3 linked regions of the Arabidopsis thaliana genome follow. The protein of the gene in region 3 interacts with the protein of the main gene of each other region in a pairwise test. Each region holds a gene or a part of one and is shown on either strand. Other genes may lie near its edges.

Evidence for each region. The genes of interacting proteins can lie anywhere in the genome.
Region 1: the proteins of CPK4 (region 3) and TOC33 interact in binary tests that used the Arabidopsis thaliana proteins (3 or more experiments, as listed by UniProt).
Region 2: the proteins of CPK4 (region 3) and DI19 interact in binary tests that used the Arabidopsis thaliana proteins (3 or more experiments, as listed by UniProt).

The regions. Positions count from the first base shown.
Region 1 is NC_003070.9:447,000-453,980, forward strand, and holds TOC33 (translocon at the outer envelope membrane of chloroplasts 33), read right to left. Parts: upstream 3,428-6,981; 5' UTR 3,362-3,427; intron 3,260-3,361; 5' UTR 3,248-3,259; coding exon 3,152-3,247; intron 3,048-3,151; coding exon 2,940-3,047; intron 2,840-2,939; coding exon 2,715-2,839; intron 2,491-2,714; coding exon 2,226-2,490; intron 2,125-2,225; coding exon 2,056-2,124; intron 1,975-2,055; coding exon 1,813-1,974; intron 1,735-1,812; coding exon 1,666-1,734; 3' UTR 1,424-1,665; downstream 1-1,423. Other genes in the region: AT1G02290 (uncharacterized protein), read right to left, coding at 3,647-4,978; AT1G02300 (Cysteine proteinases superfamily protein), read left to right, coding at 6,289-6,366, 6,595-6,648, 6,731-6,811, 6,908-6,981. UniProt on the Arabidopsis thaliana protein: GTPase involved in protein precursor import into chloroplasts. Seems to recognize chloroplast-destined precursor proteins and regulate their presentation to the translocation channel through GTP hydrolysis. Binds GTP, GDP, XTP, but not ATP.
Region 2 is NC_003070.9:21,071,432-21,078,064, reverse strand, and holds DI19 (drought-induced 19), read left to right. Parts: upstream 1-3,187; 5' UTR 3,188-3,339; coding exon of another isoform or gene 3,340-3,388; intron 3,389-3,616; 5' UTR 3,617-3,795; coding exon 3,796-4,005; coding exon of another isoform or gene 4,006-4,008; intron 4,009-4,090; coding exon 4,091-4,156; intron 4,157-4,271; coding exon 4,272-4,504; intron 4,505-4,587; coding exon 4,588-4,699; 3' UTR 4,700-4,759; intron 4,760-4,840; 3' UTR 4,841-5,210; downstream 5,211-6,633. Other genes in the region: AT1G56290 (CwfJ-like family protein), read right to left, coding at 1-357, 458-540, 679-1,080, 1,183-1,347, 1,427-1,630, 1,714-2,001, 2,091-2,126; AT1G56270 (RPB1a), read left to right, coding at 6,429-6,633.
Region 3 is NC_003075.7:6,046,508-6,054,418, forward strand, and holds CPK4 (calcium-dependent protein kinase 4), read left to right. Parts: upstream 1-2,933; 5' UTR 2,934-3,052; coding exon 3,053-3,590; intron 3,591-4,132; coding exon 4,133-4,276; intron 4,277-4,365; coding exon 4,366-4,518; intron 4,519-4,619; coding exon 4,620-4,735; intron 4,736-4,947; coding exon 4,948-5,115; intron 5,116-5,202; coding exon 5,203-5,427; intron 5,428-5,515; coding exon 5,516-5,677; 3' UTR 5,678-5,873; downstream 5,874-7,911. Other genes in the region: AT4G09580 (SNARE associated Golgi protein family), read right to left, coding at 6,214-6,345, 6,420-6,590, 6,674-6,944, 7,517-7,806. UniProt on the Arabidopsis thaliana protein: May play a role in signal transduction pathways that involve calcium as a second messenger. Functions as a regulator of the calcium-mediated abscisic acid (ABA) signaling pathway. Phosphorylates ABA-responsive transcription factors ABF1 and ABF4 in vitro.

The DNA.
Region 1 (6,981 bases), on a different chromosome or scaffold from region 3:
AACTGCAACACCATTATATGGATATTTGGTGTCTCGTCATCAGAGTCGTGCCAATGAATTTTGATGCTATAAACAAAAAAATATAGTTTAATATTTTAATAAATAATGTAAACATAACAAAAAAATTATTTATTAAAATATACACATAACAAAGAAGACGGAAAGCTCCTCTCTCACAAGCCAGGCTATCTCGCCACCTGCTATACCTTTGAATATTTCAAAGGTCTTTTTTGAGAAGTATTTCAAAGGTCCGTCTTCTTGACACTACCGGCGACAAGAGACATTTTTACAACGAAAGAGTTCGATAATAGAAAGGTTAGTAAAAAAATAAAAATATTCTTTGTCGTAATTATTTCAAAGGTCATTTTTGAGAAGTCAATAAAACTATGTTTTGTTTTGTTAACAACATGCATTATACCGTTTGATTGATAACATAATAACGACACTAGCACATTTTACTAGTTTACACATTATAATCAACCTAATCGTTTTTGGTCATATTTTTGTTCTAAATTATTTATGTTTTGCTTAAAATTTGCTTAATTTATTATTAAACTTTAAATATTAATTATTTTTTTTGTTATGTTTATAATATTTATTAAAATATTAAATCATATTTTCGCGTATGGTATCAAATTTTTTTGGCACGTTCTGTTTGGATGTTATGTCACAAAAATTAAAAATTTAGTACTTACAAAAAAAACAAAACATGGTTGAAAAAATCTTTCAATCAATTACTAAAAAAAAAAGTAAATGAAGAAAGCAATACCTCATGCAGCAGCTTGTGATATGATCCAAAAACAAATCGGGACAGCTAAAGGTCTTGGCTGGTACAAGCAAAAACTCGGTCTCCTTGAGCCCATCCAGCTTCTTTCAGGTACTACAACATATTAAAAAGATTGCACATGTCAAAATGACTATTACCATATCCAAATTTCGATTGTTTCCTACTTTCCTTTTATCTTCAACAGTTGTTTCCTTTTTCTTATTTGAGAACGTTCGAGAAATCTGGACCGTCTATTTTCATCATATTGCAACTGTGAGATCTGATGGTGATTATCTAATCTAAACGGTAAGTTTGTTAGATTATGTGGGACCGGGACGATCTATTTCTTAAACCTCTGTTACAAACAAACACTCATGTCTATTAGTATTAGGAAATAAGAGATGGATATGATGATGATTCCGAACCAATTCTCAATAAACTGTTTATAATGGAACAGAAGCAGCAGTGATTGATGATCTAACAGACATTGACATCAGGCTACCAATGCTAGTCTTCCTGTGGGAGATAGAAGCGGCCTTGGTTATGCCGAGTTTTCTGTTGATCTGTGTTTATGTAATCACCCGAGGATGCAAACAATTAATCCCATCAGCTAAAAGACTTGTTTGATTCAAAACAGACTTTAGCAGATCATTTGTTTTTCTTATCTACAGAACATAATATATTCTTTTTTTGGTGATATTATGATTGGGAAACATCCATTTCATTTAACCAGAAAGCATGGCAATCTTTTCTTTGAACAAATCTCCATAAATTACAGACAAAGATAAAGCCGGAAACAAGAAAATGTTGCAGATAAAATCTAACAAAAGAAAGAACAATCGAAAAACTCTTCTTCTCCTTGTAATTTGCTCACAACAAAACCTCTTCTTCAGAGCCTCTTAAAGTGGCTTTCCACTTGTCTTGATATCATTTCTGATTGCTCCTTGAATCATCTTAACGATCAAATACTGCAAAGTAGAAGAAAGGATTTCACTTGTTTACCAAATTCGAACAAGACAATAAATCAAACTGTGTCTCTTTCTTACCTGAGCGCCTATGATAAGAGGGATGAGTTTCTTTCCTTTATCATCAGAGTAAGATCCATCTACCATCTTCTTGTCTACATGAATTGCTTTCCTCTGGTTTGTTGCTACATCAGTTATCGCCTTAACCAAGTTCGGGATCCACGCTTCACCATTTGGAAGAGCCTGAACCGAGAGCAGGTAAGCAACTTTTAACAGTCAGTCTCTCTCCAAGTCGGATCAAATCAGAGATTCGAAAACACAAACCTTTTCGTCCTTATCGTTCTTGCTGCATCTTCCGCTGTTCTCTGCATAGACTACCGCGATTGCAGAATCCTACAAGCCAGTAAAGAATGAAACTGATTCTTGCTACAATGAACCAAACATACATTGGTATAACAATTTTCGGAGACAGGTATATGTATAAATAACCATACCTCAAACTCTTGTTTTCGCATCTTAGAACCAGCCCGGATAGTTTTGAGGAGAGAATCTGATCTCTTGGAGGAAAAAGTTTCGTAGGAAAGTTCATCGGGAGGGGAAAATTGAGCATGAGTCAGAACAAGCAAGGTTTTGCACCATATCTCTTTTCCAAAGGTTTGGGTGATTGCTATAACAACTTGCTTATCTAGCTCATCGACTCTATACACATCCAAACGATCAACATAGAGCAAGACATCTATTGTTCTGTTCACAAGAAACCTGTCCAAAATCCGAGAAACACAACAACTATCGTAAAACTTCCACACACACTCCAATATACAGCTTCAGCGTAAACCAGATACTCATAATTCACAATTTCAACAGAAACCCACAAGTAAACATGTTAACCACATATATACTTAGCTTAATTAATTCAAAAACGAATGAGATAATCCTATATGCAACAATCAACGAAGAGATATTCCAAAAGAGTAGCTACTGACCCTTTGATTAACTCGAGAGCTTGGTGATTGACATATCCAGCTTCCACAAGTCCAGGGGTGTCAATAATGTTGATAGTGAACCCTCCCATTGTTCTTGAAACCATCACTGGTCTCAATCCTTCAGCCTACAAAATCAACAAAACAGAGCCATCAAATATCTTGAAATGACTACTCTTTCTTAATCCAAATTAAAAAAATCAAGCTTAGGGAAACTGAATTACGTACTTGGAAAGGACTGACACGGACGACTTGTTCGCCGATAAGAGAATTGACAGTGGATGATTTTCCGACACCGCCTTTACCCAGAACAAGAACTGTCATTGAGTTCATATCCTGCAATTACAAAAACCTCCCATCATTATCTCCTAATCACAACGGAGAATCCGAGAAACCGACTTAAGCACCAAAGAAACAGGAACAACAACAACAAAACACACCTTTTGCTTCAATTTTCCGAAGAATTCAATCAGCTTTTCCTGGGTAGCTGCTGGAAATTGCTGAAACCCAACCCATTCACGAACGAGAGACCCCATCACTCCTAAACCCTTCAGCAAAAAAATTCTTTTGGTAAATAATCGCTGAGTGATGACGATGATGATAATTAATTTCGAAAGCGATAACGTTTTGGGAGATTTGGAGGAGCTTACCGTTGTGTGAGGAGCGTTTGAGGTTTTTGGAAGAAGCTCTCTCGATGTGTTCCGCAGAGAAAAGCTAAAGAATGTGACCTTATCGGTAATTTGTTTAATAGTTCAAATTATTTTCACTTTTACTCCTCTATTTCTTTAGTGTTTCTTTTTAGTGCCTTCAAATTTTGAAAACTAACAAACTCAACCCCAAACCAAATCCAGTTACCAAGTTGCAGCATTACACTTCATATTTTCATGGAAGACTACATTAGGTGGAACATTGAATTAGCATAGCGTCACGGGAGCTCAAGCGATTCTCTGAACCTTTCTTCGCTTGTAAGTCAAGGAAAACAAATGGTCACTATTGGCTTCTCGAGCATGATTGTCTTCGCTCAGGACCCCCAGCGGTTTTCTCAGAGCCTTGGCTTCCCTCTGAAAGTTATTACTAGACGAAATCCTCTTGCTCTCTGTTGTTTCAGAGCCTCTGTCAACAGTCCTAGGCTTAAAACCAGGAGACTTCAGGTGGTACCGGACATATTCTTCTTGCTTTAGAGGTATATTCTGTTCTGTGATGGAGTAATTTGAAACACGGAGAGCACTGGGAACAGTGTGTGTTGGATCATGAAACACCGGTTCTGTACCTTGGATTGATCTTTGTGTAGTTTCCAAATAGGTTAAGAAAGGGTCTGGGATAGAACAGCCAAGAGTTCCGTAGGGTGGTTTCTCAAATGTCGTACCTAAGTATGGAGACGCTGCAAATCTAGTACTCTTTGAACCGGTTTCATGGATTTGCAGGAGATTGTTTCCTGGAGCTACATAGGGTTTCCTGAGGATGGCAGAAGAAGATTTAGGGACTAATTTGAGAACACCCTTTGGCAAAGTCTGATGATGATGGCCAGCAGAAACTAAGCTGGAACCTTGATACCGGAATACTCCTTCCTTGGTTATCTTTATCTTGAGACTGTTCTTGGAGCTGCCACTGCGAGGGAAGGTTAAACTTTTCGATCTATTTCTTTCCACGGGTTTCACTACATTGGGAGTTTTGAATCTACATGTAGCACTATCCATTTCCTTAGATGGAACTCTATTGAGGTCCAGTAGCTTGAGATTACCGGTTTGAGTTCGTCCTGACCAAATGAGGAGCCTTGAGTAATTGCCCAATTTATTTCCATACTGAACCCACACCCTTTGCATTTCGGTAAATGTCCTGATCAGCTTTTCATGATAGAACTTTAAAGAGTAGTAATACTTTCTCCTCTTGACAAACATAACACCTTCTTTGAAACAAGCTACCTTTGGAGTAAACAATCCACCTAGCAAATTCTTGTAAAACTTATCCTCTGGATTCCCAAAATATAAATTGGCACCATCAAGAAGTTCCTGCATCGTCAAACTGAAAGTCTGTGGATCCATATCTGGCAGAAAACATGAGAGGAAGAATCTTTCTTCTTCAGTCAGAAGTGAGTTCCAAGTCTCAACAGACAATATTCCCGTTAAATCTGGTAGATCGTAGAGCTCGTATGGTATGTTACAGAGCTGACCTTCAACCAAAGCTAGCTCACAGTTTACTTGCGCAATGTCGTAATCATCAGAGTCATCATCTTCAGAGTCTAGCCCAACTGTTTGATTCTTATTCATCTGTAGTTAACCACTTACTACCCTTAAAACACAAGTACTTCAAATCTCCAACCACAAACTCAGTAGAAAGGAACACAAGCAGGAGATACCTAGATAGAAAATGTTAAAGACTCATCATCAGCAATTCACATTACAAGAATTCTACTACAATACAATGGACAGCGAGAAGCTGAGTATGTTACTAATCAGAAATCAAACGAACATAAATAGCATTTTACTCACTGATTTCAGCAACAACAACACTAAAGGCTATATAAAACACGAAATATACATTGTGAGATCAATGAAGCACTCAAAAAGAAGAAGATACACAACACCAGAAAATCTCCCAGATCGGATCAGCTACAAAGCTTAAACGTAATCGATCGCGAACTCAATCAATAACCAAAATCAAAAGCTCCAACAAGGCAAATAACTAGAGAGCGAAAACCCTTGGATTTGACAACAAAAATGTGCAGACAATTTGAATAAAAAACAAGTATCATACAAATCTCAGCACAAATCAGCTCCAATGAGTTTCAAAAACCTACCGGAACTAATAAAAAAAAAGAATCTCGAGATATTCAGAGAAATCGATCGGAAAGCGTAAAAGACGAGGAGCTTACCGGCTCTAAAGACAGGTGAAATTAGCAGATTAGGGTCGAAGAAACCATATCCCTTTGGCTACAGATACGAACTTCATCGCCTTCAAAGATTCTCTGCTTCCTTTCTAGAGATTTCTATGGCTTTTCGATCGATGCGACAGTAGAGTAGAGACTAGAGAGACTAATTACTGTTACACTTGTATTTTGATTTCTTTAATTAAAGCCGCCTAAAGTAACTAATGCCTTGATTACTTTAATTAATAATCATTTTTAAATTGTGATTTATAATCAAGTTAGACATTACTTCACAAATAGTTTGGGCCTGGAAACGTATAGGCCCATGTAAACTTTAATAAAAGAATCACCTTGCAGGTAAGTATAATATCCTGATATTATTATTTACTTGATAGAATGGGCCTATAATAAAAGAAATCACCATTAAAGAATTATAGGCCCATGATATCAAGTAAATATCAAGAAATGATGATTAATGATCAAGTTAGACATCATTACTTGATATTTTGGTAAGTAGGATCAATCAACGGTCAGGATCCTTTTAGTAAAATCATGTGTCATTTTCAGTTTGTCTAAAAGATAAGCCTTTCACTTTCTCTCTCTGTCTTATTAGAAAAGAAAATTTGTACCGTTTCCAAAGTCTGAGCCAATCATTGTGTTGATTCTGGAATTCTTTGTGGGAACGAGAAATTTGTACAAGGGAGATTCATCATGGCTGATAGTTGTTGTATCAGACTTCACTTATTAGCCTCTGTTTTCTTGCTCTTATTTTCATCCTTCAACTTGCAGGTACTTTAAACTTTCGTAATCTGTGTGTTAAAATTGCTTACTAAGATCGATTTGTTGGACTCTTGAGCTACAAGTTAAAAAAAAACAAAATAAATCAAACTTTGTGATTTTTTTCTCTGCGTATCAATCTAAGACATATGAAGGGGAAATGTATATATGGTTTTTTGTAATTGTTTCTATATCAGTAAAGTTTTAAACTTTTGAAGCTGGTTTATCTCTTAATCTCAGGGTATTGCAGCGGAAAATCTTTCCAAGCAGAAACTGACCTCACTGATTCTTCAGGTTTTGATCTTAATCCACACAATTATCTGTATTGTTTTCGTCTCTTTTAGATTGCCTAAACGTTGATGATCAACTTTTGCAGAATGAGATTGTAAAGGAAGTCAATGAGAATCCAAACGCTGGTTGGAAAGCTGCTTTCAATGATCGGTTTGCAAATGCCACCGTGAGTTTATTATCACCTCCATGCTCTTATCTCTTTAAGAGCTACGTTACTTATCATTGTTCCTGAAAGTTTGTGTTTTTGTGTATGTATGTGCAGGTTGCAGAGTTTAAGCGACTCCTCGGTGTTATACAAACACCAAAGACGGCATACTTAGGTGTACCTATTGTAAG
Region 2 (6,633 bases), on a different chromosome or scaffold from region 3:
TGCATTGGCAAGATACAGCAATGGCCTTGGACAAGGGGCTGATGTTGTGGTAACATCAGATAGGTGAAGTTGGCAATGGACACAACTAAATGTTTCGGCCGCTTTGGGTTCTCAAAACAGAAGAGACAGCGTTCTTGCTGGGTCATAATACGTTTCACACGGTTGTCCTTTTCAGGAATGTTACTTGACGATTCCCGCTTCCGGGACTTTTTGCTTGGAGCGTCTCCATATTCATACTCATCATCAGCAGCTTGATTCGATGTTTTGTACTGTTTGTTCTGCATTATGCTCTTGGCTAGATGCATATCCGTATCATCTTCATTCTTCCTTCTACCCGACATATCTTTGACAGGATATCTAATGAGTAAGAAAAAGAGGCATTTTAAAATCAGAACGATTTGACAAAAAAAAAAGAAACGCCCTAAACAGCTCAGAAATAAAAGTAAACTAAACTTACCTCACTGCGGTTCTGATGGAGTGGTGGTCTTTGGATGAATCGTCTCCAACAGCTTGTTTTGCTTTCAGCCTTTCCGCTTCTTCCTGTAAATATCAAGAGAATTCACTTCAGAAGTAAGCAGGAAAAACAGCTCAACTAATCAGACTCAGGAAAAACTGTTAGAAAAAAGACTCAGGCACAAGGCAAGTGAATGATTGGGAATTTCAAAGTTATTGTCTCACCATAATTTTCTGGGCTTCTTCATGTTTCCCCTTCATACGGAGCTGTAAGGCTTTAGCAGCCAGTTTATTCACACTTAAATTTTCCATACTCGGAAGAGTCCCTTCGTCATCCTTATTGGTCTCTGACGGTAATGCTTCCTGCTCCACATCACTTCTGTGATCTCCACGAGTCTCTACGGGAGACACTGATACATTCTTCTGCTTAGAAAGCATTTCCTTCATGAAATTTCCGTCATTGGAAAACTTATTCATGTGAGCTGCAGCTTCAGATATCAGCTTCGAGTCTTCGTTTCTATGAGTTTGGCTCTTTCTCTTTCCCCAGGATAAAGAAGGGTCGGTTTTGGGGGCTCTCAATACACGATGGTTCAACGACTCACCTTTCAAATACTCCCGATTATTACCCTTCAAATAAAATACGTCACGAAGTTAGAATATAAGCTGTCATAATTCCCAGTATGAAACAGTACTAACCAGTATGAAACAGTACATTAGCGGTTCATGTACCTTCTCAGAAATTCTTTCTTTTGGTTTTTTTTCTGAATCATTCTTTTCATTTTCCCCTCTTCTTCTATTATTTATGGCATTCAAATGGGCACGAGATGGAGCTGCTCTTTGAGATGCGACAGACTCAACAAGGTTACCAAGAGAACCATATCGCTCGCCAGCAACCTGCATAACCCTCAAAATGATAAGGCAATACTCAAAGACCAACGAGACTATATTAATCGTAAATCAATACAAAACTTACCTCCTCAAGCCTTAGCCCTTCTCTCGCAGCCTGTTCTTTCGCACGCTTGAGTGCTTTCATTCTCCAACTTGCACCCCCATCTCCAACAACCGAAGAAGGTAAAAGCTGGTCTTTACCATGTTTTTTCTCAGATTCTTCCTCTGGATAACCGGTTCCATTTTCTTTCAAATAAGGATTTAGTTCCCTTGGGTTAACTTTAGTTACCTGGCAGAGAAAATAAAAAGCATTAACTTAACTATCTAATACGGACTTGTTAGAAAGATACTCTCAAATAAAAATTCCCTCACCTCAGGTGCACTTTCTTCAAATTTATCCTCTACATCTGAAGCAGGGTTTGGATCAGCCTTTCGGGTTGGCGGCAGCATCCAATCGAGACCCATTTTCTTTCTAACAATATCCCCTTCAAGCAAGTCATCATCAACGGTCTCGCCATCTCCACTCTTGGCAATCTTCTTCCCATCTCTCTTACTTCCTTCTCCCCTACGCTCCTTTCTATTTACGTCCTTGTTCTTTCTTCTTCTATCCTTCCCACCTTTAGATTTCTCTCTTTCCCCCTCCCAACTATCATCATGCACCTAATAGCAAAGAAAAATAACATCAAACTCAATCCAAGATGAATAAACACAAAAGAAAATTCAGGATCATATGAAACTAGAAACTTTACCTCATCACGAGGTATGATCTTTATCCCAGAAAACATATTAACAATATCTGTCCAAGGTCCTGTTGGAGAAATAATCAACAGACTTCAAAGGCAGAGCGAAGCAAACTTCAAACCTACACAAAACAGAAAACAAATTAGACCATGTCATAGCCATGATACTACTGTAAACAGAACAAGATCCAGAGATCAACAAAATCAGCAATACCAAAAGCAAGATGCAAGCACATTATTTGACTAAGCAAACCTCAGCCACAATATTTACAAATTACAATCCTCTGATCAGTAAGATCATACTTTACTAGTGCTAAGCTTGTAGGTCACTAGGTAGATGTTATTAAAGCTTAAAGCAACGAGATTGAAAGTTTGAAACTAAATTTGATCCTATAGATTCTAAACCCTACTGATTGAGAGATCTTAAGAAAACCCATAAACAAACTTCAATCGAAATGCAACACGACGACCAATATACTGTACTTCGATTGGAACCAAATTGGAGAATTTAAGAAACTAGAGAATTGAAACAGAGAGCAATCTTAAGCAAATATGTCTCCTTTATCTTCGTTAATGAAGAATAAAGAACTAATTCTCAGGAAACTTACCGGAAAAAGAAGAAGAAGAAGACAGCTACTCCGGCGATGGATGATGAACTCTGTTCGGAAGAAGGAAACGATTTGCTCTGTTCGATTGATAAATTTAGGGCTCCAGAAATAAATAACATAAGAAATACAAACTCAGAGAAAGCAACGAACCCGGACTATAAACCGGACAAACACACAACAAAACCGGGAATATGAATCCAATAACCGGTCCATAATTTCTGCAAAACCGATAATACCAAAGAAAACAACGAATTGCGACTATAAACCGGAAGAGAAAAACGACCGGGATTTGGAAATTCGAGAACCGGTCCATCATTTCTGAAAGTCGATAATACCAGACAAATACCAACCGGGATTTGGAATTTGTTAACCGGTCCATCAGAATCGATGATACGAGATAAAATTGAAGAACCGGGACTGATAACCGGAACAAATCAACAAACCGGGAACTGGAATGTCGAGAACCGGTCTCACCATTTCTGAGAAATCGATAATAGTCCTCATTCACAACGCACTTTCTCTTCCTCTCTCCTCCTACCAAGAAATCATCGTCTTCTTCTTCATCTATTCAGGATCGATCCGGCTTGAGATTTATTACAAATTCGTCCTTCTATTTGCTCCAAAAGTTCGACAATTTCGTAGGGGCAAAGATGGACGCTGATTCCAAGAGATTTCTAGCTACGCTTCGATCCCGATCTGGTGAGAAACTACAGTACCTTTATGTCAACTTTGATTTTGAGCTTTGTAAGTTTGGTAATTTTGATTTTTGAGCTCTCAAGAAGGGAATATTTGAATAAAGTTTCAAACTTTTTTTATCACATGAGTTTGATTCAAATATCGTGTTTTCTTGACTTTATGCGAAATTATTTGGTTAGTTATGTAAGTGAAAGAACAGTTTGACTCATATTTATGTTTCTGGCTATATAGGTTTTTGAGCTATGTAAGAAAAATTCTTAAACTTGTTGTGTTTAGGAGCTGTAATAGATTTGCTTCTGAAATAAAGACAACAAAAAAACTGGATGTTCCTATCTAGGTTAACATGATTCAGCAGGTTGTCTCATGGAGTCTAGTTTTGTTTTTCTTTCATATTGTTGTTACTTGGCTAGATGAAATTTTGTGCTTTTACCAGTATCATACTTGCAAATATATATGATCTTTTATGTTTGAAAATTGTAGAAATGTTAATGGGCTTTGAAGAAATAGATGGAGATGATGATTTCCAGGAGGAGTTTGCTTGCCCGTTCTGTGCAGAATCGTATGATATCATCGGGTTGTGCTGTCACATAGATGATGAACATACTTTAGAGTCGAAGAACGCGGTATTGCTCTCTACTGGTCTTTACTATCAAATCAACTTGGAATCAAAAATTATATAGCAAATGTGTACATTGGATTTTTCAGGTATGCCCTGTTTGTTCTCTTAAAGTGGGAGTTGATATCGTAGCACACAAACGCTTCACCATGGGAGTTTATTTAAGATATCCTTTTTTCAATTTCTACGTTTATAACTTACAGATATTCTTAGTTTCTCACCATGGAATCACATTCCTCTGTTGAATTCCTTAATGAGTTTTACTTGCAGCGAAAGAGAAAGTCACGAAAAAGCGGTACCAATTCGACACTTTCACTTCTTCGGAAAGAACTAAGAGAAGGAGATCTACAAAGGTTGTTAGGATTTACTTCTCGTAATGGTTCTGTTGCGTCAAGTGTAACTCCTGATCCTCTCCTGTCGTCATTTATCTCACCTACACGATCACAGAGTTCTCCTGCGCCACGCCAAACCAAAAACGTATCCGAGGATAAACAGATAGAGCGGTATAGATTCTATATTAGCTTTCTTTATTAGATTATAGAGTTTTTTGAAGGTTTAGTTTTTGATTAGCATTGAACTTGTTCAGCAAGAGACAAGTGTTCATCTCACCGGTCTCGTTAAAAGATCGGGAAGAGAGGAGGCACAAATCAGAGTTTGTTCAGAGGCTCTTGTCATCAGCCATTTTCGATGAAGTCTAATGCACATACAAAGATTGAGAACATGGAGGAACTAATTCGAATCAGACTTGAGAGAATCTGGTATATATGAAGCTCTGTTAGTTGTGTAAAAGAACCTACACAGACACATTTTCATCGGAATCTTGATTCAACTGTGTGTAGGTTTCGAGAAAAACAATGGTTGGGATGAGAAGAAGACGGAGAAGAGCGAGATGCAGCTATGTTATCAATATCTATATCTATCTATGTATTGTGTCTGTTTGGTGCTACTAAATACATTGCGTAGAAATGTGTTTTCTTAAGTTTATTAAGCAATTGAAAAGTAAGATATAGGAAGAAGAATAAGTCCTCTTGTCTGTAGCATAAACCCTATTGGTGTTCTTGTGTTGTGTGTCTTATGAAATGAAAAATGTTCACTCTTGTAAGCTAGTAAAAGAGTGATAAAAGAGTGGTTGAGAAACCACGTACGAAGTCATCTGTTTAAGAATAATTCAACAATATTGTTACTTTTGGTGTGTGTGTGTTTTTCTCTACTCAATTCTCGCTCGTCGTTCACTTAAACGCTCTTGATCTCTACCACTCAATCTCACTTCTCTCTTCATTCACATCTCTATAAAGATATGTTTCTCTCATTTAAACTCTCTTGATATCTCTCACTCAATATCAATTCTCTCAATGATTTTAAATTTCATTGTTAGATTTCTATTTAGATTAGTATATTTAGGAGCCGTTCTCAATTTTTAGAATTAGAAATTTAAATTGAAATTTCTAGATTCAGATTGTGAAATTTTGGATATGTTATTTTTTTCATTTAGATATTTAGTTTCAGATGAAGATTGGAATTTTCTTTATATATTTTTTTAAAGTTTTTATTTAGAAATTGAATGGTAATTTTATAATTTGTTATATTATGAATTTAGAGTATAAATTAATTAATCAAATTTTAAGCTTAAGACATTCTTATTATTTTGTAAGTTGTTACTTTTAATTAAGTTTCTTTAAATTTGACTCACAAATCTTTATTTATGTTTGTACCTCTATTTTCACATTGTTCTCAATCATTTTACGGATTAAGAGAATTCCAATATGAAAATTCATTGATTCGAATAACAAAAAAAAGTAGATTACATGTTCCATAATACATACAGATTTCATATTTTGGATAATAATACAATAAATTTTGTAACTAAAACTACAATATATTTAGAGACTTAGTAATTATTTCAACCCGCACATAGTACCAATAAACTACCTAATAGTTTATTATTTATAAATTACATTATATTTTCATGTACGTAATCTTTTACTATAATCATATGCAAGGATCCAATGCCATTAGTTTAGTTTGACTATTTGGAAGCGTGCCTGCAACTCGAATGTTCATTAATTTACTAACATTTGCATTCGGAAGTTAAATGTGTAAATTATTCATCATATTAATTGAAATTTATACAATTAGAATTAGTTGAAACTACTTTTGTTATATTAATTATTATGCTATCTCTCCATGCGAAGAGACAAAGTCGGTCAATGGACGGAAAAAAAAGAAGTCCGTCAATGTCAATGACGAGCATATGCGAACCATCCAAATTCCAAAACGATAAAAAAACTTATTGATACATTTTGATTTTTGTCAATTTCATAGATAGTACGTGCCCATGTGACGTCGGCGATACGTATTACCTATATAAACTCTACGTATGATACAATAAAAACCAAAAACGTACCACAAAACAAAACAAAACAAAATATGTCCGCTAATCACACGACTCTCCATAGCTCCGGGGATGAGGAGCCAAATCACGAGTTGTATTCTGCAGCGGTGCACAAGCTCGTGGTGTTAATGAACGCCGGTGTTTTTGGATTTCTCCAGCTCAGCGACCTGTCGGCTATCGGAACCAATGCAGTTGTCTCTACATCTGTTATGTTCGAGACTCATCGAGCCACTTTCCTTT
Region 3 (7,911 bases):
GAATGCATTATTTCCTTATTTGTACATACAAAATGTTATACCATCCTCTATTCATTGGTCTATGTTAATGACATAATCATCACATGAAACAATTTGGATGCATTTGAAAATATTTTACAAAATCTAGCTATCAGTTTTCACTTAAAGACTTGGGTGAGTAAATATTGAAGAATAACTTACAAATTGATTCTATCAATCACAAATCGCAAACCTGAATGCTTTCGGTTGAACAAATCTCGTGCAGTTACTAGTGTTCCTCCTCTACCAAAATGACCAAGATGATATAGCATCCTACGATATGAACTAAGAAACCCAGTCTTGGTGGGATATCCGAAATCAACAAGATAGTACTTCCCACTAGGCGGATGTGGGAAAAAGGTTCATTCCTCGCACAATGATTCAAAACTTTTGTATCATGTGCTCTACAAGATATACTGACATATGCATATATGAATTTCATATCGAAGTTACATATAGCAAGAACATTCATTATATGTTCTATCTTTCTATATTTATATTTTTCTACAGATTGACTTAGACGGCGAACCGGGACATAAGTTCCATCAAGTGCTCCAACACAATCTCTAAAAACAGGCCAATATCAATCATCATTCTTCTAAACAGGGTTTACTCTCGTAAATTCACCTTCTTGTGGCTTTAGTGTATCCACTACAAACTTTAAAAGAGCACTCAAAACATCATCAATCTTTTTTTTTTTTACCGTATTCAATGACCGTTGATATCTTGTAACTATATCTCAAACAGTTTTATCCTGACCAACCACCTCGAAAAGTATTAGTGATTTCTACCTATATAGTGAAGAAGACCGTAAGTATTAGTTCCAAACATTTAGACCCATTATATAGAAACAGACATAGAATTTGGAAATTTTGAATAAACCGATCAAGCTGAGAGTAACTAAGAGAACACAAATAAATAAGAAACTCAAAATATTTAAGAGATTTCAGTCAGTGAATAACGAAAGTACCTCGGAGTAGAGATTCAACGTTGTATTAGAAGTAACCAACGACGGGAGATCTAGTTGAGCTCAAGTCACCGGATAATATTTCGCAAGATTGCGGCGGCGGAGAGAGATTGGTTTCAAAGAGTTTGAGATCGATGAGTGTAAGAGAGAAATGATGAAAAAGAAGTAGAAGAAATAGAGTTAGGTTTGTTTGTAGTTTCTCAAACATAATAAGGGTATAATTGTCATTTATCATATATAATACAACTTTTAAGCGTTGACCGCAGCATTATGCCGCACTTACTTGCATCTGCCGCTGTTGCAGCAACCTAGATAATCAAACGAACATCTTATTAAAAAAAAACAGAAGCTGAAAGCCCAAGCTTATTTAAAGATGGGCCAATAGGGGCCTGCATAAAGTTCCAATTTTATTTAGAAAATATCTATTTAACATCATTTATGAATAAAGTGTCCTCCGATGCTATTTGGGTTTGGTTAAAGATGGATTTTGGAGGTTTTCCAAATGATGTCAGATTTTGAAGATGAACAATGAAATAAATATATCTAAAGCTTATACATCTAGGTCTCTTACCCAACGGCGATGAAATAAAGAATACATGTACTAAAACGACGCATGCAAAATAATACCTGAAATTTTCTTTCTACGTTGGAACTCATTGCAAAAGATGAGGAATATTGCATAGCCATGGATTGGATAGAGCCATAAAGAATCGGTACACATTGCTTTTCATATTTTAATATCGTTAAGGCGTAATGTAATAAGTATTAGAAATGGATTTTTAAAAGTATTTAGATAGTTCGGGTTTAAATTTTATTTTATTGCTGATTGGACTTTGTTTTACAATTATAGAGAAATAATTTTGTGTTAAATTATAGTATTATACGACATTCACACAATTACATTTACATTAACATGTACCACGTCTATTTTATAATATTGCTCCAAAACGAAAGAGTGGTCTTCACGACGAGCGAGGTTTAAAATTTGTAGTCGTGCATTGCAAAAAGCTGCGAAAACCGTGTGAACTCTCAACCAAACCAAATATGATATGAAGAAATTGGTTCTTGTCCATTCGGTGGTTAGTGTGCATGCATGTCGGTGAATTTTATATGTTTTCCATTTACGACCTTTTCTCTTTATATCATATAGATTTTTAGGGGAAAAAAAAATCATATAGATTTTTAAAAAATCATGTTCCCAATTAAGACATAATGTTTAGTAGCCAAATTGAGAACCAACCTTTTTTCTGTTTATTAAATAATTTAAGTGGATGGATTTTACACATATATTTTAATGTCTTACATAAATAAAATATCATGTTATTTTTTTTGATAATATCATGTTTTATTGATAAAATCCATACATACTTGATACTTGCAAAAAATATCATGCACAAATTTATCTCTATAAATGGTTATCTACCTTTTTTTTTTTTTTTTTTTTGAACACAATTTACCTAATAATCTTAATAAATATAAGAGAAATGTAACGCATACTTTTGTTGGACATTGTTTTTGGTCGAGTCTGATTGGTTTTTTGTTCAGATCTATCGGATTTATGTATTTAAGATCTAATAAACAAATTATAAAAAATTTGATTCGATTTGGTTATCGATTTTATTAATAATGTTAATATAATCCGACTTACTTTGGTTAGAAAAATTAATTCAAAAGTAACAACAAAAAAAAATTGGATAACAAAACCATCTAAAATCCTGCTAATTAATTCACATCTAATAACCGAATCCGAACCTAAATGACCAAACCATTTGTGTAAAAATCTCAAGCCTAGTCCCTATATTTCAATAGATTTTTTTCTTTTTTTTTTGGTCAAGATCAATAGATTTTTTTCATCAATTCAATTTATTGCAAATTTGCAATAATAGTTGGTAAATACTATAAATGTAAATGGTCACGGGATAACAAAAGAGCAATAATAATATAATAATTGCATAAGACGAGTCAACATGACCAAGAAACATTGAAGGGTTCGTAACTTCGTATCATCTTCCTCCTCCTCCTTTGATAAACACCAAAAAAAGGCAGAGACTTTCGAAATCAAGAACAATGGAGAAACCAAACCCTAGAAGACCCTCAAACAGTGTTCTTCCATACGAAACACCAAGATTAAGAGATCACTATCTCCTCGGCAAAAAGCTAGGCCAAGGCCAATTTGGAACAACCTATCTCTGTACAGAGAAATCATCATCAGCTAATTACGCTTGCAAATCAATCCCAAAACGTAAGCTTGTATGTCGTGAAGACTACGAAGATGTATGGCGTGAGATTCAGATCATGCATCATCTCTCTGAGCATCCTAATGTTGTTAGAATCAAGGGTACTTATGAAGACTCTGTTTTTGTTCACATTGTTATGGAAGTTTGTGAAGGTGGTGAGCTTTTTGATCGGATTGTTTCTAAAGGGTGTTTTAGTGAACGTGAAGCTGCTAAGTTGATTAAGACTATTCTTGGTGTTGTTGAGGCTTGTCATTCTCTTGGTGTTATGCATAGAGATCTTAAGCCTGAGAATTTCTTGTTTGATAGTCCCAGTGATGATGCTAAGCTTAAAGCTACAGACTTTGGTTTGTCTGTCTTCTACAAGCCAGGTTCGTTGTTGATTCTTCTCTTTTGATTGGAATCTTATGGTTTTTGTCTTTGTTGGTTGGTTCAAGGAAATGTTTTGATTTGGTTTCTTGATTCGGATTTGCTGCTTGAGCATTGTTAGGGAAAGATTGAATTTTGTTATATCTGGTTTTGACATTTAGTTGATATATATGGATGTGTTGATTGTGCAAGGTTTTGTTATATATGTAACATATGCTTATGGTTATGAAGCGATCTTATCAGATTTTATTCGATTCATTGTCTAGATTATGTTGAGAAATGTCTTGTTTGGTGTTGAAAATCGGTTTCATGATATGTTATCTGTAGAATCATTTGTTGAATGGTCATTTCCAATTTGCTGCTTGAGCATTGTTAGAGAACCAATAATTTTCTGTGGCTAGATCTTTCTGAATCTTTTCTTGCAAGATTTACATAGTTTTGTTGTGTTACTTATGCTTATGTAATGATGCTATCAGAGCTACATTGTGTCCGACTAATTTCAGTGCTTAACAAAATTTTCAATTGTGTGGGTTTGCATCTTCAGGGCAGTATCTGTATGATGTAGTTGGAAGTCCGTATTATGTTGCACCTGAGGTTCTGAAGAAATGTTATGGACCAGAGATAGACGTGTGGAGCGCCGGTGTTATCTTGTACATCTTACTAAGTGGGGTTCCTCCTTTTTGGGCAGGTAAGTTTGTGAAAGCTAGTACCGTTGTTACTACTGAATCAAGTATATTGCTTATGTGATTTAAGCATCCATGAGTAATTTGTTTGCAGAAACCGAGTCAGGAATCTTTAGGCAGATATTGCAAGGGAAGATAGATTTTAAATCTGATCCGTGGCCTACTATCTCAGAAGGTGCTAAAGATTTGATTTACAAAATGCTCGATAGGAGCCCCAAGAAACGTATTTCTGCACATGAAGCATTGTGTAAGTTGTTACTTATGATTGTTTTCCTCTCTGCTACATGTATTTTGTTGTTCATTTCTGTAAGATATAAGAATTGAGTTTTCCTCTGATGATATTATTAGGTCACCCTTGGATTGTTGATGAACATGCTGCACCAGACAAGCCTCTCGACCCAGCAGTCTTGTCGCGACTTAAGCAGTTCTCGCAAATGAATAAAATCAAGAAAATGGCCTTACGAGTAAGAAAGTTGTAGCCCTTTAGTCTCCACTCTCATTGCTTATTTTCAAGAACTGATTTCCCTGTTAGGAAGATCGACTAAGATAACACATTTTAAGAACTATTTTCAGGAAATGAATAAACTTAAGTAAATGGCCTTATAAGTTGGAAAGCTATAGTTCTTTAAACTCTCAATGCCATTGCTTATATTCAAGAACTGATTTCCCGGTTTAGGTAATCGCGGAGAGACTCTCGGAGGAAGAGATTGGTGGTCTGAAGGAATTGTTCAAAATGATAGATACAGACAACAGTGGAACAATCACCTTTGAAGAGCTTAAAGCAGGTCTAAAGAGAGTTGGATCTGAATTGATGGAATCAGAAATCAAGTCTCTTATGGATGCGGTAATTATACCAAAACAAAAACTCTCTTTTAGAATATTGATTTCTCCGTTCTTCTAGGAATCACAAAGCTTAAATGGTGTTTTGCAGGCGGATATAGACAACAGTGGGACAATAGACTACGGTGAATTCCTAGCAGCGACATTACATATAAACAAGATGGAGAGAGAAGAGAACTTGGTGGTTGCGTTTTCATACTTTGATAAAGATGGTAGCGGTTATATCACCATTGACGAGCTTCAACAAGCCTGCACAGAGTTTGGTCTCTGTGACACTCCTCTTGATGACATGATCAAAGAGATTGATCTTGATAATGTAAGAAGCCTTCATGATCTGTTTCCTTTGTCTTGTTTCTTAGTGAGTTTGGTTTAAAACTGATGATGAAAATATGTGGTTTTGTTAGGACGGGAAGATTGATTTCTCAGAGTTTACTGCTATGATGAAGAAAGGAGATGGTGTTGGGAGGAGCAGAACTATGAGGAACAACTTGAACTTCAATATAGCTGAAGCTTTTGGAGTTGAGGACACAAGCAGCACTGCTAAATCTGATGATTCACCAAAGTAATTATAATCATCTATATACTTGGAATTGAGAAATGAGAACTCACAAAAGAAAAACTGAATCTTTCCTTTTTGTTTTCGTTTCCACTTTTGTAGATGAGCAACTTTCTCAATTTTGTTATAAGCATGGATAATTTTGCTTCATATTTTCTGCGTATAGAACCATTATATGATCAGAATCACCCATATTTGGTCAAAGCAATGTCTTCAAGCATTTACATAATCATGTTTGTTATACATAAGCCAATAGGCTGCAGAGTCAGATCTCTGAATCAAGTATTCAATATACAAAGCCAATCATGATTCAGTAAACTAGCTACACAAACACTTACTACTACAAGGGGGTAAGAGAAGCTCTCAAATCGAAGACAATAAACAAATCAAAGCCAGAGTTAGCGATTTTAAGCTCCGCGATGTTGCAGAAACAATCTTCTTCTTTTATCTTGAGCTCATAAACACCTTTGAAATGCTGCCATGCGACTGAAAGGTGCTGCTCATCAATATCTATATAAATGATTATACTCTTCAGTCTTCGACTCTTCATTCATATACTCTCTTTCTCTTTAGAAGGGCAGGGAATATGGAGATGGATCCAATGAGGAACAGCACTGACAAGGTCTTGAAATCATACAAATCCTTTACTGATCTGAGATCTCCAAGAGCCAAACCAGCCTGTGTAAATGAAAGTAAATGTTAGCCTCTTAAACACGAAAGAACAGCGGAATGAGATTGAACAATAGACTCACTCTAACTGTGATGTACGAAGCTGGCATAAGACCGACTAGAGTCGCCAAAAAGAAGACGTGAAAGGGTATGTCAACGATTGGAGAAGACAAATTGATAAAGAGGTTTGGAAGTGTTGGTGTTATCCTTAAGAACAGCATGTAGTTTAGCAGCCTATCTCTTCTTTTCGCAATCTGACCCATTGAAGATTTCAAGACATTAATGCTTTCAGAACAAGAGACATTACTAAATACTAATCAAACACAAAAGAACTTACCTCAGCTTGGAAAAACCTCAACTTTTCAGGCCATAACCAGTTAACCAATGGCCTACCGACCAATTTCGATAAGAAGAAGCAAGAACATGCTCCAGCAGTTGCATTAAGGACAACAAGAACAAAACCTCTAACCACACCGAAAAGAGCTCCAGCAAGCAATGACATAAAGATCGTTCCAGGTATCATAAATGTCTGCATAAAGATATACGTCGAACAGTAACCTAAAATGAACCGTGCTTGGTACTCACTTGCATAAGACCCAAGATTCTCTCTGCACATATTCATCATATCAATATATCATCATCATATAGTAAGTCCAAGCATATCACATTCAACTGAAAACGCAACTTTCAAATCAAGTCTTAATGCTAATGCATGTACTTATTTTGAAATTCAAGTAACACTACTAAAAGCTAAACACTTTCAGTTTCTACATTTGCATAAATTCAATTCTCAATCTATAATACCAAACAACAAGCTAATCACATACAAACAAACTGAGAATGCTGATTCTAGAATCATGTCTTTAAGCTAATTTTCTGCTCTCTAAAGTCTAAACCAATTTATCGGAATCTTCGAAAGATTCAAACTTTCAATATGGGTTTTTGAATTAGAATTCAGATTCAACAGATCACTATTAAAAAGCTAAACACTTTCAATTCCTACATTAGCTTAAACTCAATTTTTTCAATCAATAGAACAAACGAACAAGCTTATCACAAACAGAAAATTTTCCATCAATTTTCCGAAAGATTTGAACTTTCAATTTGGGTTTAAGATTTAAGAGATAACTACTCAAAGCTAAACACTTTCAATTGTAAAAGAAGAAGCTTTTAATCTCACTTGAGCAATCGAAGATCGGAGATAGTTCTAGGAACTTTGAGCTTGCCGTATTCAGCGGCAGGCATGGTGAGGTAAATACAAAAGAGTCCGGTGGTGAAAACGAGAAAGACGGTGAAAAACACGGCGAATTCCCACCGTGAGAGAGGAAATCTCTCCGATTTGGTTCGTTTACCAGTCGGTGAGTCATCGTTTAAGAGTCCTTTAGCTGCCGATGAAGCTGCGGGGCTTTCTTCGTCTTTTACTAGCTGTCTTGCTCCACCGTCACCTGTTAAATTCCGAGGAGCCGCCATTACTGTGTCTGTAATGCTTTCTCAAGAAAACCCAATTTTGAAGGAAACTGAAGAACTTAACATTTGTTGGATATGTGCAATTTCAGACGCAAAGACTTGATATTT